4 linked regions of the Saccharomyces cerevisiae S288C genome follow. The protein of the gene in region 3 binds, or shares a complex with, the protein of the main gene of each other region. Each region holds a gene or a part of one and is shown on either strand. Other genes may lie near its edges. The genes, in order: MRPL33, MRPL23, MRPL32 and MRPL20.

Region 1 (2,706 bases), on a different chromosome or scaffold from region 3:
ATATCTATAACGTTACATACAATATTTGGTAGGGTAGGGTATTTGATGTAATATTTATTATTAAGAACTTTTGTCGTGCTAAACGTTGTACTGTACAACTATTAGCAAGATATTTATGCACGACAGTAATCTATAGTTGTAACTCTAAATCACACACCATAGACAAATGATCACTTGCATATTCTCCAACATGTGGTTGTCCATGCTTTGTCATTTCATTACCGGGCGGCATTCTCAAAAAACCTCTGCATTTAACTTTATTTTCTTTTTCAAAATCGCCAAGGGTTTCCACTTCCTGACAATTACTTTGTGGGTCCCATTTCTTTACATAAAATAGATAGTCTAATAAACCACGCCAAGTGTTTGCCCAATTTGAAATTTCAGGCTCACCTCTATCATTATCAAGACCTGCATTTTCTGGATGAACATTCTTATACCCAACAGAGTATAGTGAAATAGCCCTCATATCCAATGAGTTATGGAGTTGTGCCATTTTATCTACGAGTTCAGACTGTTCTTCATTAGCATGAAATTTTTCAGGAACGGGGCTCTCAGGTTGATCTTTACCATATTTTTCAATATTCCCGCCTTCTTCGTCATCTGCACCTTCTTCGCCATCACGGACCTTGGAAAACTTATATGAAGTGCTGCACCCAATGACGGTCTTTGCCCTGTTTCTATAGTGCACTGGTTTGGATGTCATAGATAAATATGGTGTGTCGAACGGCTGGGAATTAAAATCACCACAGAAAAAAGGAAACCAATGAGATAAATCCCCATCATTTTCGTTCTGTAAAACATTCACACGATGCATGAATTCCTTCATCTTTTTTAAAACAATATAGCATTGTCTTGTTCGTTCATAAGTACCAAATGGATGCCAAAATAGATGCGTAGTGCCGATCAAGATACCGCATTTTTTAGACGATTTTTTACCCAAATTCGACAGTACTTTCTCAGAAAACTTCAAGGCTAAGACTAATCCCACGTTGTTTGTCGTTGTTCTAGTGGAAATGCTTTCTGAACTTTCTTTATCATAGTCGATTAGCATTTTGTCAACCTGGTGAAATAATTCTCTCCTCCACATTATCGCGACACCATGGTTTTTTGTAGCATTTCTATAATATTGTCCATCGTATCCCAATTTACTGAATTCATCTTTCCAAAAGCTTTGAAACTGAATATGATCAATCTCTTGCAAACAAATGACATCGGAATTATAATATTTAAACTCGTTTAAGAGAACTTTAGAACGCCTGTACCATTTTAAAGCGTCACCACTATCCGGGAACAGCTTTCTGCGGATTAGAGCTTGCGCCAAGCAATTATAAGTCATTAGCTTGAATCTAAATCCAGTTACTGGCTCTGCCTCATGTAGAGATAGGAAAGGTCTTCTGATAAAATGCAGCTCTGGCGGGCAGTCCGGATCAACACCTTGAGCCAACATTGCATCTCTTTTAGCCTTTCTCATAACTTCCCTTTCGGCACGAACCTTAGCGATATGTTCTGGGGTCACTATGGGCTTCGATTTTTTACCTTTCTTGCCCTTCTTTTTATGTTGAAGTAACGAATCATCATTGGTTTGATGTTTTGCATCTTTTACAGATTTATTAATTTCTACTTCTTGGTCGGGCGCAACATCTGGGGCAACCACTTTGACTTCTTTGTCTTGTGTCATATTTACTTAATACTCTTAACTACAATTAAGAAGCTATAAGGAGACTACAATCTCATCTTCTTGCAACACTACTTTTCCTTTCCTCTTGCTTTAGTGCAACCATTTTTTGAAAAATGAATGGTCTTTCTGCACGAAATATCTCTCGAAGAGCTTTTCTAGATATTAAGGATAAAGTATATCATCCCAAAAGTTAGGTGATGGAATCAATATTGATGGACCAGCTAAAACACGTTGAAAGCAGATATCAGGAATGGTGTTTTACAAAGTCACGTTGAGTAGGTCGCTTATCGGTGTGCCACACACAACGAAGAGCATTGTCAAAAGTTTGGGTTTAGGTAAAAGAGGGTCCATAGTCTACAAAAAAGTAAACCCGGCCATAGCTGGCTCCCTAGCTAAAGTAAAAGAGTTAGTCAAAGTAGAAGTAACAGAACATGAATTAACACCATCGCAGCAACGAGAGTTGAGAAAGTCAAACCCTGGGTTTATAGTGGAGAAGAGAACCATCGACTGAAACAGCGAAAATAAGGCAACTGGATTTCCTTTCTTCTTGATATTCCTGACTTATATATGTATATAGTATTATTTTTTCCTGCATAGGCACATATGTTAATAGTAATTTATGCAATTTTTGATACAAAGAAATCAATACACTATCTCGATTTCATATTTTATGTATGTATATATTTACAAGAAGAAAATTATGCATGGTCTATTGAATTTTATATTTGGAAAAAGAGTCCCTTTTTATAGCTTTTCCAACTCTAACATTCCTTCTAAACAGTCAATTTTTGAAATTTTACAATTCTTCACGATATCTCCAATCATCGGATAATGCATAGAACTTGGATGCAATTTTAATGTTCCTCTAGCGAACGATAAGTCTGGAAAAACACATCCAGTAAATCCGTTCTGCGGTACTGATGTTACCATTACATCGAAAGTCCTTTCTGGCTCTAGTTTGGTTAGCTTTTTTAAATAATTCAGTGTCCAGTACGTCGACGAATTACGGCTAGCCCTTTTTAAAATAT
Region 2 (2,848 bases), on a different chromosome or scaffold from region 3:
AGTATGTTTTCCACCATATGTGAACGCCCATTTGTTCGGTACGAAAGTGGAAGTAATCTCCCAAAAATTGGATAATTCCTGCTTGATGTGAAATTCCCATGATGAACGCCATGATTATGTTAAAAAGAAGCCAAGTTCCCTTGAAAATTTTCTTGTTTACTAACGTGGAACTCAGAGGTGTCCAGTTTAAGTTTGTCACGAGTAGTGGCACTAGCGGTACAAGGAATCTTAATTCTTGATGTTGAAAGAATGAAAGAAAAAGCAGGCCAGATATGATTGCGTAAGTAGATAATTTATCGAGTTTGTAACCGGAAAAAATCGCTAGCAGCAATACTGGGCCAACTATTTGAGGTAAATTGACCAGCAGATGGGTGTATCTTGGATGTAATCCATGTACTTGCAAATTTTGGACATTGAGGTTGTATTTCAGGTTATTCAAGGGCGTAATGACAAATCCCTTTCCGTTGTTATAAATATTTGTATCAATAAGAACAAATAGACACGAGGAAAATGAAAATGAAAGTAAAAGTAAAGAAAAGGATTTCCAATGGACCCGGTAAAACTTCCAGAATAATATCAAACATGGTAAGAAAATAAATGCAGGAAAAGTAACTCTATTAAAAACACCAAAACTAAATATAAGTCCCAATATAACCGAATTTTTGAAATTACTTCTTTGAATATTTTTTTCGTTTACCATATCTTCCATTACAGTTAAAGTTGAGATTAAAGCCAGCGTTTCTATGGAATTGGAAAACGTGTGTGTTTGGTACGTCCAGGTTACGTAAGAAGTTAAAAGTAGACTTTTTTTGATGAATTGTACGGCCTTTCTCTCATCCCTTATTAATTTAGGTATTAAAAAATGATAGCACAATAGGTACATCACATAGTTTTGTAGTCTCATCGAATACAGAATTAACGCTGGGTTGTCCTGAATTTCGGGAAAAGATTCTAAAATAGTGAACAAAGGCCCGTAAACCAATAATAGGGGGCCGTAACTCCTAGCAGCAAATTTTGATTTAAATTCCCATGGGATGGTACCTTTGACCTTCATGAACTGCATAGCCAAAATCTCGATGCATTGGAAATGTTCATCTGGATGAATATACGACGGGCCTAGGCATAGCATTAGGCCGATGGCATATACTAAATAAAGCCACCATTGATACCTCATCATACACTTCCAAGTACCTGATGTGTGCTTGCGAGTAAGAATACTATGATATCTTATCGGACATATAGATTTTCAGGCCTTTTGTATTGTGTTTTCATCTTTATATTACTTCAGATTGTGCGCATCTCGCGAAATCCTCAGAGCTTCAGATTTGAACTTGTTGCCGACATAGTAAGTCCTCTCAGCACCTTACTGTAGAAGCACCTTTATAAGTTATATTAAATCAATACATCTTCTATGAGATACATAGATCGATAAGTTGACTTTTTTTCACTATATTAGTGACTGGTTTTACTTCTTACAAACATTACAGTCCGCACATAAAAAGCTATTACGATGTCTATATAATGTTTTGCTCTATATTGCACGTACCAAACACGCTACTAGTAAGACATGAGTTCCATCTAGCGAAGAATCACCGCACGCTATGGTTACTTAGACGGTTATGGTTTAGTTAATTATCGTTATAATGTTGATTGTTACCCGCATGGAGCCTTCCTTGTAGTTTAGAGATCTTTAAAACGTTCTAAATAAGTAAAAGAGAAAGACCTTATGAATACACTGATATCATATAGAAAAAGAAAGCAATACCAGCATCAACAATAGCCTATTCATGTCGCAGAAGATTGGACACAGTGGCTTGGCTTTTGCGCGCCTTTGGCACCATGTCGACGTTGCCCGTGATAAGAGGACATTGGGTAGATTGGCTTCAGCAATTGCAATTACCTTAATTGGTAGACATAAGCCGGTCTATCATCCGTCACAAGACTGTGGAGACTACGTAGTAGTGACTAATTGCCAAAAAATCCGTGTAACAGGTAAGAAATTTGAGCAGAAGACTTACTGGTCTCATTCAGGTAGACCTGGTCAGCTAAAGTTACAGACAATGAACAAGGTTGTTGCCGATAAAGGATTTGGAGAAATTTTGAAAAAAGCAGTTAGCGGTATGTTGCCTAAAAATAAATTGAGAAAGCAACGGTTAGACCGCTTAAAAGTTTTCGATGGAAGTGAAAACCCTTATAAACAAAATATTACTGCCTTTGCCCATGAGCAATCATCAATACCAGAGCCTCTTAAAGAATCAATTTTTAACCAATTGAAATAGCTTATTGAAATTATTTGTCATTTTTTTATATATCCTTTTTGCAGTCTTCAATCCATGTATATATTTATCTGTTATGTAGTTTTAATCAAAACGCGTATTAAAATCTTCTTTCTTTTATGAATACTAAATATATTTAACAGTGTGTAACAGCAACATTGTTCCAAAATGAACACCGTATATTTTTCTTATAACTTTTTACATAAGTCATTATTTATGACTTGGATATTTAAGGTTTTCCGCTAAAGTTCATTAATATGTCTTGATAAAATTAAATTTTAATTTGGTAAAATGCGAAACAAGGACTATAAATAAACACTGTGAGTCCCATTTTATTCATCATTATTTTTGTGTTTTTTGAATGCTTGAAAGTTCTCTCTGCTTATTAAAAGAAATGCTTCATTCTTATTTTATTACTATTGCCTACTTGTTTACCCTTTTTTTGGCAAGATCAGCACAAATGAAATGTTTTTTATTATTTTACTTTCTTAGAGTTACAACATTATTTCTTAAAAATCTCTCGAACGATCGGTATATAAACGTGGTGTAATGTTCATAGCCATAAGTTCTTG
Region 3 (2,787 bases):
CCGGATTACATTTATTTTTGGCGTATTTTAATAATTTACTAAAAGCGCGAATAGCTTCCCATTAGCAACGCTCAGGGACTCTTTCTAATGTTTATAGTAATACTTTAATAAGATGAGTACCAATTGCTTCTCTATGAGGCACAATCCCTAACCAAACTTTTATTTAGAATTACCGGTAAACTCCGTTTTCTTCATAGATTAAATATTTGGCTAAGACAACAAAATGTTCTTTCATTTTACCAAACGAGAAGGTGATAGCTGTACGCCAGAAAAGAAGGTAAAAACTCTCGCCAATCCAGCAATACCTGTACCTCTAGTTTTCGATCGCATTATGTCATTATGTAAAACCAAGGAGAGAAGCAAGTTACGGTGTTTTCATATAGAATAATTTGAGAATTCTTAATAACATAAGATATATAATCACCACCATTCTTATGAGATTCAACGTTGAATGGCGTTGCTAGACATATGAGCTGAGGAACGACTATTCGCATTTTCTTTCAAGGCAATTAATTGTCTTGCTCTGAACCCTTCATAATGAATGTAGGAAGTTGTTTCGATTAAGTCTTGGAGATGAGTTCGAATCAAAAATTCCCTTAAATATACAAAATCACACTGGTTGATATCCTCAACATTAATAGCGCTCCAACGAGTTTTTCTTCCCCTGAAGGTTTCACCGTTTATTTCAATCTCATTCTCAGAACCAACCACTGCAAACGGAATGATAGATCTAACACTTCTGTTTAGTTCTAATTCCTCGTCAGTTAGTTCTTCCGAATCATAAGGATAAATCTTGAAATTGTATTTTTCGAATTCATTTTGAATAAGCTCCCTAAACTCCGTTCTTTCATCTAAAGTCAATGTATCCGACTTGCCAATAACTGGTATAACATTTGCTATTTCTGTCAATCTTTTCAAGGCTTCAACGTCAAGGCGGCTCAACTCCTTTCCATTTGGTTGCAGGAAATAAAGAATTGCATGAACTCTTGTATCAGTAATAAACCTTTCACGTTGGGCTGTCAATTCTTTACGTAAGTATTGAGAATGTTGTTCCTTAATGTACTTCACAATAGGCTCCCAAGCTTTAGAATTGTCAATAAAGTCACCAAATCCAGGTGTATCTATAACATTAATATTCAAGCGAACGCGGTCCTCCACAAGAGTATGAGTAGAAATTTTCATTTCAGTTGTTTTTGTAACAGGCAGGGCAGAAATATCATCACCAGTAGCAGAATCAATCAAATGTGAGGCAAATAACGTATTTATTAGAGTACTTTTACCCAATCCGGATTGGCCAACAACCATTATATTAAATTGAAAACCTTTCTTCAACAGACGATGTTCGATCTGATTCGTGATGGTATCAAAACCAACATAAGAAGCAGGCTGTACTGAGCTGAGAGGATCCATTAATATATTTATAGAGTGCTTGTAGTAACCGTGGGGCTTGGCCTTGTATTTTCTTGTCTTTGCCTGAAAAAAGTTAAGTATTACTGATACATGTTTACATATATTCTATTCAGCGATTCTGATCTATTTGTGGTCTCTCGAGGAAATCTCATCGTATCATACGATTATTTCCGCAAGCATTCAGAAAGCAAATCTTAATATAAGGCACAATGTTCCCAAATAATACCTTAACTTGGAGACAAAAACACCAGGGAATATCAGCAAACAAACTATGAATTCTTTGATTTTTGGTAAACAATTAGCATTTCACAAAATTGTGCCTACCACTGCAATTGGGTGGTTGGTACCGCTAGGAAATCCTTCACTGCAGATTCCAGGCCAAAAACAACTGGGATCTATCCACCGTTGGTTGAGAGAAAAGCTACAACAAGATCATAAGGACACTGAAGATAAAGATTTTTTCTCTAATAATGGTATTCTACTAGCAGTTCCTAAAAAAAAAGTATCACACCAAAAAAAAAGGCAAAAACTTTACGGTCCAGGTAAGAAGCAATTGAAGATGATTCACCATTTGAATAAGTGCCCATCATGCGGCCATTATAAGAGAGCCAATACACTGTGTATGTATTGTGTTGGACAAATAAGTCATATATGGAAAACGCATACCGCTAAAGAAGAAATTAAGCCGAGACAAGAGGAGGAACTTTCCGAACTAGACCAAAGAGTCCTATATCCTGGTAGAAGAGATACCAAATATACCAAGGATTTGAAAGATAAAGATAACTATTTGGAACGTCGCGTTCGGACTTTAAAAAAGGACTAGGCTCATCTTTCATCTAGTGGTTTCCTTTTTAAATAAACTTAAGCCTGTATATAGAAACTTAATTTCAAACTGTATATTTATTGTTTAAGACAGCATCAATGGTAGAATACAAGGAGCGGAAACAGAAAGAAAAGTCGAAATAGAATTTTTCGCTTTTGGCTTAACAAAATGAGGTCTTTGAAATCAAGAGTTTTGCTTGACAAAAAACAACTATATTTCAAAATATTAGGAAATGATATTATTAGTACAAGGACTTACAGAAATATACTTTTAATATAAAAAGGAAAAAATAAAATAAAAAGAGTTAATTCTTTATTAATTTTCCAACGTCCTACATTGATATATCTGCTGAGATAGAATTAATGTTAGTAAGAACTAAATATTAGACGCGAACTGTTGTTTCTTACATGACAGTACAGCAGGATAATAATCCTTTGTCCTCCTTCTTTTCTGCAGTTGTAGCTGCTGCAGGTTTAGTTTGTCTCTTAGCCGCATCAGAAGTAGTGGTCTTCTTTTCAGTGGAGGGCTTGGCTTCTTTTGCAGGGAAAAGTTTT
Region 4 (3,060 bases), on a different chromosome or scaffold from region 3:
AATATACTTGCAAAAACTTTTCTTGCAGAGTGTCGAACGTTGTTTCAATATCTTCTTGACCTGTCATGAAAATGAGAATATCACCGCTTGAACAATCGTTTGCTAAATGAATTTTCACAGCCTGAGAAACTGCAGCTTCTACGTAGTCTTGAACAGGGTTGGAAGTATATATGGTCTGTACGGGGAAAGTTCTTCCAGGAATTGTGAACTGAGGAGCATTACCAAAAAATGCGGAGAACTTCTTCGCATTCATTGTTGCTGAAGTGATTATGAGTTTTAGATCTCTTCTACGTGCTAATAAAATCTTGAAAAAACCTAGTAAAATGTCTGTATTTAATGACCTTTCATGAGCTTCATCAATAATAACACACGAATATTTATCGAGTGTATCATCCAATAAGGTCTCTCTGAGTAGAATACCATCCGTTACAAACTTAAGTTTTGTACACTCAGAATCCGTCACATCTTCAAACCTTATAGAATAGCCTACTTCCTTACCCAATGGAACTTGCATTTCCATTGCAACCCTTTTTGCAACGGATATGGCTGCTACTCTTCTCGGCTGTGTGACAACAATAGATTTCCCCCTATCGTTGGCATATCCTTCTTCATATAAATACTGTGCAAGTTGCGTGGTTTTACCTGAGCCCGTTTCACCAATTATCACCACTACTTGATTTTCTCTTATCAATGATAACAATTGAGATCTGCAGCGGAAAACAGGCAGTTGCTCTTTAGTATGTTTAATGTCATCTTTTGATGGCGTGAAAAGAGCTGTATCGTCGCAAATCTTTTGGTTGCTCTTATCTTTTGCTTTATTGTTATTCTCCAAGCCTAGTACTTCCCCCATGGCAGTGTTCAAAACAGTGGTGTTGTCTCGAGATTGTTGAATATGTTCCATGTTTATCCTTCTCAAGGCAACCAGCTTACTACCTCGTTTGGCGTTCGCAGAAAATTCACTGTCAGGATTCCTAAATGGATTCACCATTGATAAAGCGGATACTTGGCTGGACGTCTCAGAGATGGACCCGATAATTATGGAAGTGGGCACTTTGTTTTCAAGAGCAAACTTTGATAAAAAAGGAGGGATCCATTCCATTCTTTGCTTGAGTGGTATGGGGTATAATTGAACGGTATTTCGTAAGGCATCATCGTTGTCGATATTCCTAATGACAGGTAGTAGTTTCGCTTCCTCAGGCAATTCAGACAGAGGTTCAGGCACCAAATTTCCATAATCATCATCATTATCATACCATTCTCTGTCCTCCTCAACTACTTCGCTTCGAGTCGGTTCATAGTCCTTCGTTTCAGCATGACCATTCTGTGTTTGCTGTTCACTATTTGGAGAAGGATCCTTCACGGTGGGCGAATACTGCCTCAACTGTTTGGCCTTTAGTTTATCTATTCTCTTGAACAACGTCCGTGTAGGTGCTGGTTTTTTTTGAACTGGAGAATCTAGCTCATCTTCATTATCGTCAAGGTCTAACTGGATCTTAAATTTCTTTCTCTTATTTATAGAAGGGGCGATTTTCTTTGGGCCTGTCGAGTCCTCTTCAGATTTATTCTTGAGGAGCTCCAGAAGTTCATTAAAAATGATTGGATTGTTACTGCTGAGTTTCGTCAAAGCTTTACAGCTGGCAATAAACTGTTCTAGATTAGTATTCGGCTTTTGCGCTAGTTTCTGCAGTGTCAAAAGCAACCCAGGCGTTAGTTCTTTTGACGTAAGTTCCTTAAATATGTCTTTTATCCTTTCCTCACGCCCCGAATGACCCATACCAGAGGTATTTGTATTGTCTTTGGGCCTTCTTGTGTTTTATCATCTGCAGTCATCTCATGAATTTTTCAGCTTTCACCGCTTTTATTATTTGAGAAAATAGAAAAGAGGGCAAAAAGAGATACTTTCAACAAGTTAAAATGGAAAATTAAAGACAAAGTAAAATAGCACAAGAATGATTGGCAGAGGTGTGTGCTGCAGATCGTTCCACACTGCTGGATCTGCCTGGAAGCAATTTGGATTTCCCAAAACACAAGTGACAACGATTTACAACAAGACTAAGAGCGCATCTAACTATAAAGGGTATTTAAAGCACAGAGATGCTCCAGGAATGTACTATCAACCATCAGAATCCATCGCAACCGGATCTGTTAACAGTGAGACCATTCCACGTAGCTTTATGGCAGCCAGTGACCCTCGTAGAGGGCTTGACATGCCTGTTCAAAGCACTAAAGCGAAGCAGTGTCCAAATGTTCTCGTAGGTAAGAGCACAGTGAACGGCAAAACCTATCATCTGGGACCTCAAGAAATTGATGAGATCCGGAAGTTACGTCTTGACAATCCTCAAAAGTATACACGCAAATTTTTGGCTGCAAAATATGGCATTTCGCCATTATTTGTATCCATGGTCTCGAAACCTAGTGAACAACATGTACAAATTATGGAAAGTAGATTGCAAGAAATCCAATCACGCTGGAAGGAGAAGAGGCGTATAGCCAGAGAGGACCGTAAGCGTAGAAAACTCCTGTGGTACCAGGCGTGAATGCTATATAAATATAATAACAATCGTGTAAATACTACTCTATAAGTACTTCGTATTCATATATTGATCACAATGCACGGAGACGCCCATTAATGTGACTTGAATATACCACATGAAAGCTAACCAATAAGCAATTTAAAAAGAGTTAAGTACAGCTTGGAGACACCCAAAGGCTTCTGCTTCGACAACTATTGACTATCGAGATGGCTTACAGTGACTACAGCGATGGAGCAGACGACATGCCGGACTTTCACGACGAAGGTGAATTTGATGATTATTTGAATGACGATGAATATGATCTAATGAACGAGGTATTTCCTACTCTAAAGGCGCAGTTACAGGATTACCAAGGCTGGGATAATCTTTCACTTAAGCTAGCTTTGTTTGACAACAATTTCGATTTGGAAAGCACGCTGGCGGAATTGAAGAAAACTTTGAAGAAGAAGAAGACACCAAAGAAGCCAATTGCTGCTGCTAATGGGAGTGCGAATGTTACTCAAAAACTGGCAAACATCTCAATTTC

The links.
Region 1: MRPL32 (region 3) and MRPL33 share a complex: the UniProt entries of both Saccharomyces cerevisiae proteins name them as parts of the mitochondrial large ribosomal subunit.
Region 2: MRPL32 (region 3) and MRPL23 share a complex: the UniProt entries of both Saccharomyces cerevisiae proteins name them as parts of the mitochondrial large ribosomal subunit.
Region 4: MRPL32 (region 3) and MRPL20 share a complex: the UniProt entries of both Saccharomyces cerevisiae proteins name them as parts of the mitochondrial large ribosomal subunit.

The regions. Positions count from the first base shown.
Region 1 is NC_001145.3:840,014-842,719, forward strand, and holds MRPL33 (mitochondrial 54S ribosomal protein uL30m MRPL33), read left to right. Parts: upstream 1-1,928; coding exon 1,929-2,189; downstream 2,190-2,706. Other genes in the region: NGL2 (RNA exonuclease), read right to left, coding at 131-1,678; DSS1 (exoribonuclease II), read right to left, coding at 2,423-2,706. UniProt on the Saccharomyces cerevisiae protein: Component of the mitochondrial ribosome (mitoribosome), a dedicated translation machinery responsible for the synthesis of mitochondrial genome-encoded proteins, including at least some of the essential transmembrane subunits of the mitochondrial respiratory chain.
Region 2 is NC_001147.6:610,212-613,059, forward strand, and holds MRPL23 (mitochondrial 54S ribosomal protein uL13m MRPL23), read left to right. Parts: upstream 1-1,787; coding exon 1,788-2,279; downstream 2,280-2,848. Other genes in the region: SMP3 (glycosylphosphatidylinositol-alpha 1,2 mannosyltransferase), read right to left, coding at 1-1,177; DNA-directed RNA polymerase II core subunit RPB2, read right to left, coding at 2,786-2,848. UniProt on the Saccharomyces cerevisiae protein: Component of the mitochondrial ribosome (mitoribosome), a dedicated translation machinery responsible for the synthesis of mitochondrial genome-encoded proteins, including at least some of the essential transmembrane subunits of the mitochondrial respiratory chain.
Region 3 is NC_001135.5:116,939-119,725, forward strand, and holds MRPL32 (mitochondrial 54S ribosomal protein bL32m MRPL32), read left to right. Parts: upstream 1-1,681; coding exon 1,682-2,233; downstream 2,234-2,787. Other genes in the region: septin CDC10, read right to left, coding at 442-1,410; YCP4 (flavodoxin-like fold family protein), read right to left, coding at 2,637-2,787. UniProt on the Saccharomyces cerevisiae protein: Component of the mitochondrial ribosome (mitoribosome), a dedicated translation machinery responsible for the synthesis of mitochondrial genome-encoded proteins, including at least some of the essential transmembrane subunits of the mitochondrial respiratory chain.
Region 4 is NC_001143.9:598,571-601,630, reverse strand, and holds MRPL20 (mitochondrial 54S ribosomal protein mL58 MRPL20), read left to right. Parts: upstream 1-1,949; coding exon 1,950-2,537; downstream 2,538-3,060. Other genes in the region: DEAH-box RNA helicase PRP16, read right to left, coding at 1-1,774; ribosome dissociation factor GTPase HBS1, read left to right, coding at 2,741-3,060. UniProt on the Saccharomyces cerevisiae protein: Component of the mitochondrial ribosome (mitoribosome), a dedicated translation machinery responsible for the synthesis of mitochondrial genome-encoded proteins, including at least some of the essential transmembrane subunits of the mitochondrial respiratory chain.